Linked DNA regions of Daphnia pulex. The protein of the gene in region 2 interacts with the protein of the main gene of each other region in a pairwise test. Links are inferred from orthologs where the notes say so. Each region holds a gene or a part of one and is shown on either strand. Other genes may lie near its edges.

Region 1 (2,951 bases), on a different chromosome or scaffold from region 2:
GAGATGTCGCCAATTAACTTTAACTCCAGCAGTCAGTACCAACCATTAGTTAGTAAACACTATTGCTTGGTACTATTTTAAAAAAATAATTTTGTTTTAATTTGGATATCAGTTTTCTTGTGTGCTAAAACCACTTCAAATATTCTGAAAAAGTGGTTCAGTATGTCACTTATATTCAACATATAAAAATGATGTTGAACTTAAGTAAAATAAACAATGAAAATGTGTAAGTAAAATGGGACACCACTGGACAAAATTTAAACTAAATGATAAACCACTTGATTTATCTTACAACTACATACACTATTACCATTTCAGATTTCCTGTTTTCATCTCATTCTCGTCGTCAATGTAGCTGTAGTAGAAACCCTGTCAACATCGAGGCATTTTCATGATACGGCAACGATTACGTGGAGACAGGCAGTAAAGTTAACTTTCTTAAGTCTTAACTTGAAGCTTGTTAAATCTGATTAATCCAATCAGAAATTCCGATGCAATACACTTGTAATTCGATAAAGAATGGAAAACTAACCAGAAAATCCAACAACAATGTCTGCCATGTGTCGTAGTCGTGCTCGAGCTCGACTGCTCGTGCTTAGGAATCGCATCAACTGTTCAACGCATCACCTGGCGGACAAACTTTATCCCAAACACGATTTAAATCATTTAATCAATTAGCGTTTTCAATTATACGCAATTCGTTAGTATAGCAAAGCTATCATTCACAAATATTGTGAGATGAAATATCTATTAAATCGAATGGAAATTATAAATATTTTACAAATATCAAAATCAGAGCTATCAGCTATTACTAGAAATGGTGTCCACGTTGCACTTTGTTTTTCGCTTAAATGTTTGATGTAGAAAACTACTAGAAATATTTATAATACCATAAAAACCATGTAAAATTCCTATTCCTATGGATGTAAACGACGGAATCATCATTCGTGTGTAATTTACAGAATAAACGTCTAAAAGGACGTTGAATGGATCCGTTCTACGTTCTTATATCAGTAGAACCAACCAACGCTGTCCGCTGAGAGTTGCAGCTAGACGATATCGTTATCCAGTGCCAATCTCATTTACTTACCTATTAAAGTATTAAAATTGTTTTTTTGGCGCGCAGTTCATCAAAAATTTGAAGCCATCTGGGGAGGGCTATCAATACCAAAGCCGACGTCATCTATTGGGAGAAAACAGCAACTTTCTGGTGACAGATTATTTTCTTTCAATAAAATATGTCGTTCGTTCCTAGATTCCTATAAAGTAACAACATAGATTTTGTCATTAATTATTTTATTTGTGCTTAATATCATACATTCTTTAAAAAAATTACACTTATGACGGATCGGAGTTAGATGGTTCTCATGATGTTGTGGAGGCCTGCTCCTTGCGGCCAATCCGCAACAATGATAACCAAGCAGACTACAAAGCTTTAAGCTTGACGTTTGAAAAGGAAACATTTTGAAAACCGATTCCAGTGTTCCACTTTTTCTACGCTTATTAGAAAAGCAAAAACGTTTTTAAGATTTGTTTTTTACCCTTACCCTTAACAGTAACAAAGAATCTGATTAAAATGGTTGGTATTTGAGTTGTGTATGTGTTTTTTTTCCAATTTTGTAATATTTTAAAATTTTAATTTTTCCAGTCTGTTACTCTCCACACTGATCTAGGCAATATTAAGGTATTTATTTTGTCAAATATTTCTTAATAAGATAAATCATATTCTTAATTATTTTCATTTAGATAGAGGTTTTCTGTGATGTAACACCAAGGGCTGCAGAGGTAATGTTAAGAATTTTATGAATTTTTTAAAATTATTTTCTGCACAAGTGTCTTATTATGTATCCAGAACTTTTTAGCACTTTGTGCCAGTAACTACTACAATGGATGCCTGTTTCATCGAAACATAAAGGGATTCATGGTGCAAACAGGAGATCCAGCAAACACAGGAAAAGGAGGCACATCTATTTGGGGAAGAAAATTTGAGGATGAGTTTACAGAGGAATTAAAACATAAAAATCGAGGGTATCTTTCAATGGCTAATTCTGGACCAAACACAAATGGCAGCCAATTTTTTATCACATATGGTCCGCAGCCTCATTTGGATTTGAAGTACACAATATTTGGAAAGTAAGTTATCTATTTTTTACAGCAATTAAAGCTCTTTTTTAAAACACAATTTTTTTTTTTATTTTTAGAGTTATTGATGGATTTGATGTGCTGGATGAATTGGAAAAACTACCAGTAAATAAAACTTCTCCATTATTATATGTATAACTAATGAGTTAACTAATCCTCGTTCATAGGTCAACCAGAAGAATCATCGACCGTTGAAAGATATACATTTAAACAGTGTGACTATTCATGCCAATCCACTTGCTCAGTGAAAGTTTGAACTGCTCCTTTGCTATGTATGAATGTGGGTGTTATACATCAAAACAGAAATTATTTTTGTTTCATTTAATATCATGTTCAAAGTACACCAATAGGTACACAATAGTTGACATGAAAAAGGGTCGAGCTGTGTGAATTTTAATATGCCATAAGTAAAAATCCACCAAGCTTCAATGCAGAAATTGTGAAAATCCATCGAAAATAAGTCGAAAAACAACCTTAATTCAGCGCACATTACGTGACGCCTTTACATTCTGTGTTCATCTTAAATGGGATAGGTCAATTTGGAGGTTAACAATTCATCTTCTGAACTCGTACTGATCCTTCCTTGGCTAATTGGTAGATAAATCATCCTTTTCGTAGTCATCCTCATTTGTAGTGATTTCAGTAGCTTCAGAATGTTCCTGGTTTTTTTCATCTGCTTCTTCAGCATTCCGGTTTTCTTCTCCTGACTGGAACAAGACATTAAACTTAAAGACATTTTCTTCTAAATCTAAAATTTTAATTTACATACAGCTTGACCGCCATACTCTTCTTCAGGAGTTTGATCATCA
Region 2 (4,015 bases):
TAGTAACTGCGCGAATACTAAATTGATTTTTGTTCCAAATCTAGAAGAGATGCATTAAAAAGTTGGGAAATTTTTCATAAAGAATGGCATGACGCACTTCTGAAATTACATAAACGTAAAGTGTGGCATCGTAGCACAAAATTCGTTCGATTTTTGCTTTGATCGATTAACAACAAGAGACGTTTTTTTCTTGCTTTTTGCTTTGATAAAATGATGCTGATATAGGCCTAGTAACAACTGTTCTATACTCGATAAAAACCTAATTGCAAAAGCATTTGGAATTTTTAGTGCATTATGAACTGTATTTATAATCTTATAAAATAAAATAACGAGAGTTAAAAGACCAAAATCGATTATTTAATCGCGATAATATGTTACAACAAATTTTCAAAGTATTTTCTGGAATTTCAGATTCAGCAGCACAGGGAATCGAATGTTTTCTCAAGTCAAATTATTTAAAATATAATAAATTAAAATTAATTTATTGAGTAGTTAAGCCAAATCATTTATCTGTTCAGTCTTAATATCTTAATGGAGGTAATGGGGCTTAATTGTGTAACGACATAACGAGGGGCGGAAAAACAACAGACCCAAGAGTACCGTATTCAGTCTAGTGCTGTAACCACTAGCACAAATTATTTTCACAAAATAGCAAGGTTATGGGGAACATTCACGAAGCTCCAATTTTTAGTGACTATTAAATCTAACGTAACCCGTTATCCTTATCAGCCGCGCGCCGTTACGTATGAATCGCAAACAAAGATGCGTAAAAACCATTCCGAAGATTCAATATTTTCCCGTATGAAACGGCGAAACGCACAAGAAAAGCTACTCTACATATAGACATCCGCTAAATTACGATGTTCAAATCAACTGGGAAAATGATTAAAATCGTCCCTGTCGTTCAGCATTGATGGATTTATGGTCTAAACTTGAGATGGCTCACATTTTTTAAAAAAGAGTATAACAAAAAATAGAACTTGTTTTTAAAAAGTTGTTTTTTCCCGCGACCATTTTTAGCCAACTTTATTATTATAAACGTTTTCACTTTTCAGCCGAGCCGCCTCAATCACTTTTATCGAAATGTGAAATGTTAGTTCTGATCCTGAACCTGACTCCCTGAGACCCTGACTGAACATACTCGCTTGAGGCCTATTTATGCGTACAAAAAGTAAAAACAAGCAACCCTGCAGGCAGCAGGCTGCATGAAGTACTCCTGCAGTCCTGCATTCCGCACCCACACTTTATCCACTTCCCCTTATGTGTAGTCAGGTGTAGTGTCGTGGAGTCGTAAATTCGTGTATCGCAATAACAATCAAAGGAATAAAGGATTGCTTGACAAACGAACATTGCAAACTGGTTCATTTCACACCAATTGTTAAAATTGTAGCACATGAATTTTATCAACTTCTTTTACTCGTTGGTTTGAAAAATTTTCCTAAAATGGCGAACACTCCAAGTTTACCAGTTTCGCTGCTAATAGCTAGCAAATCTCAGTCTGTAGGTAGTGAACCTCAAAAGAAAACTCGAGAAGACTGGAGAAAGGCAAAAGAGCTAGAAGAAGCCAGGAAAGCAGGAACTGCACCAGCTGCAGTAGATGAAGAAGGTAATTGTTATAAATTTAAAAAAAAAATAAAATTACTTGTTTGACAACTCTAAATTTTCTACAGGCAAAGATATCAATCCTCACATTCCGCAGTATATTTCTTCAGCGCCATGGTATTACAACACTGTTGGACCAACACTAAAACATCAAAGACCTCAAGAGGATGATAAACAAAAACAGTTGGCCAAAGTTGGTGATTGGTTTCAGCGGGGGGTGAATCTTGATTCCCTTACAACCAAATTCCGAAAAGGAGCTTGTGAAAACTGTGGAGCAGTGACTCATAAGAAAAAAGATTGTATGGAAAGACCAAGGAAAGTATTGGCAAAATTCTCTGGTGCTGAAATAGCCCCAGATGAGTTTATCCAACCTGATCTTAAACTTGACTTTGATGGAAAACGTGACCGTTGGAATGGCTATAATCCAACTGAACATTTGGGCATTATAGAAGAATTTGAAAAAGTTGAAGACACTAAGCGCCAACTGAAAGCTCAGAGGCTAAATACTGGAGATGAAGATGAAGGAGGAGAAGAAGAAATGGATGGTGATGAAGATAAATATGTTGATGAAGTTGACATGCCTGGAACAAAAGTGGATTCTAAGCAGAGAATTACAGTTCGTAATCTAAGGATTCGTGAAGATACTGCCAAATATTTACGTAATCTGGATCCTAATTCAGCCTACTATGATCCAAAAACTCGTTCAATGAGGGAAAACCCCTATAAAGGTACCTTATATCAATTTGTAATGGAGTGATCATTTTGAAATCCTAATTTAATGATTAATTTTTTATTATTAAGATACTGGAAAAGAAGCTGAACAGGTTGACTATGCTGGTGAAAATTTCATTCGTTTTAGTGGGGACACTTCAAAACATGCACAGGCTCAATTGTTTGCGTGGGAAGCTCAACATGCCGGTGTTGACGTACATTTATTAGCTGAACCCACCAAGGCTGAGAAACTTAAAGTCGAGTATGTTGGGAAGAAAGAAGAAATCAAAAGCTCCATTCAAGAGAGTATCTTAGAACGTTATGGTGGTAAAGAACATCTGCAAGTTCCACCCAAAGCACTCCTACTTGCTCAAACCGAACAATACGTGGAGTACTCTCGAGCTGGAAAAATTATCAAAGGGGCTGAAAAACCAGTTGTAAGCTCCCGCTATGAAGAAGATGTGTACATAAATAACCATCAGTCGGTAAGTCTAATCAAATAAATAGCTCTGTTAATAACCGTGTAACATTTTAAAATTTTGTTTGTAGGTCTGGGGCTCTTATTGGAAGGATGGTCAATGGGGATTCCAGTGCTGTTATTCTATGATAAAGAACTCGTATTGCACCGGTGAGAGAAGCAAAGACATCGAAGAAGAAAAAATCCCGTCTTCGACTGTTGCTATAAATGCAAACAAAATTGTGACACAAGATTCGGATGACGGGAACACAGACAGCCATGACGATAGCCAAGAAGAAAAATTTGAGGAAAAGCAGTTGCCTCCACCAGAAGTCGTCAAAGACACAAAAGACTACGAAAAATCGGAAGCCAGAAGGAAAAGGAAGAGAGATAAGAAGAAGAAAAAGAAATCACACAAAAAATCAGTTGGGAAAAAGGGTGACACCCATGAAAGCAGCGACTCGGAAAGTGATGAAGAAGCCGAGAAAAAGAAAAAGTTGCTTGAAGCTCTTCAAGCTGAAGAAAAGCGTCTCCGGCAAGTTGACCGTCTTATGAGTTTGGACGAAAGGAAACGACCTTACAATAGTATGGTGGAAAGTAAAGCGCCGAACGAGGAGGAACTAGAAGCCTATTACATGAAGCGTAAACGAGAAGAAGATCCAATGGCTTTCTTTTAATTTGGTTTTCGAATAAAAATGTATTCTTTCACTTTTTTCAATTTTTTTTTTATTCGGGAGAAGTCTCTGAATGTGTTGTATGACTTATATCTTAGCATCGTGACCATGTATGGCTTACGCCACAATCGTACCACCGGATTAGATATAATTTTGAAGCTAATAATGAATAAATGTTGAAATAGAATATTTCCCAGTATTCCTCCATTCTGTAGTTGACCTTTCCCATCTCAAAAGTAGTAAATTTAGTCATAACTTTTCCGTTGCAAAAAAAAATCGACAAACGGTTGACTTTATTAGTTAATTTTAATTTTACTCATTTACTGCTAGGGTTCAGAATTCGTGGGCCTATTATTTTCAAGTGGACCTAGTCTATTTAGCAATGTTAAAGAAAATGGTTAAAAATTTTCTCAAAATGTATTTAAAATTTTTGTTTTTACAGTTAATTTGGTCAACTTAACTCACTAAAAAAAGTAAACTTCGGATTTATCGATCGTCAACGATCGTCAATGAATTTGCAGTATTATCGGCCATTTCGAATAGCAATAGTTCGAAATTGTAAAAATAGGTG

The links. The genes of interacting proteins can lie anywhere in the genome.
Region 1: the proteins of pre-mRNA-splicing factor SLU7-like (region 2) and peptidyl-prolyl cis-trans isomerase-like 3 interact in binary tests that used the Homo sapiens proteins (3 or more experiments, as listed by UniProt). The link is inferred for Daphnia pulex from reciprocal best matches to the Homo sapiens genes SLU7 and PPIL3.

What each region holds. Positions count from the first base shown.
Region 1 is NC_060018.1:4,044,775-4,047,725, reverse strand, and holds peptidyl-prolyl cis-trans isomerase-like 3, read left to right. Parts: upstream 1-1,420; 5' UTR 1,421-1,576; coding exon 1,577-1,579; intron 1,580-1,648; coding exon 1,649-1,684; intron 1,685-1,746; coding exon 1,747-1,785; intron 1,786-1,852; coding exon 1,853-2,133; intron 2,134-2,201; coding exon 2,202-2,247; intron 2,248-2,309; coding exon 2,310-2,390; 3' UTR 2,391-2,451; downstream 2,452-2,951. Other genes in the region: uncharacterized protein LOC124188554, read right to left, coding at 2,730-2,849, 2,912-2,951. UniProt on the Homo sapiens protein: PPIases accelerate the folding of proteins. It catalyzes the cis-trans isomerization of proline imidic peptide bonds in oligopeptides. May be involved in pre-mRNA splicing.
Region 2 is NC_060025.1:5,188,496-5,192,510, reverse strand, and holds pre-mRNA-splicing factor SLU7-like, read left to right. Parts: upstream 1-1,215; 5' UTR 1,216-1,443; coding exon 1,444-1,606; intron 1,607-1,670; coding exon 1,671-2,330; intron 2,331-2,403; coding exon 2,404-2,798; intron 2,799-2,862; coding exon 2,863-3,447; 3' UTR 3,448-3,633; downstream 3,634-4,015. UniProt on the Homo sapiens protein: Required for pre-mRNA splicing as component of the spliceosome. Participates in the second catalytic step of pre-mRNA splicing, when the free hydroxyl group of exon I attacks the 3'-splice site to generate spliced mRNA and the excised lariat intron.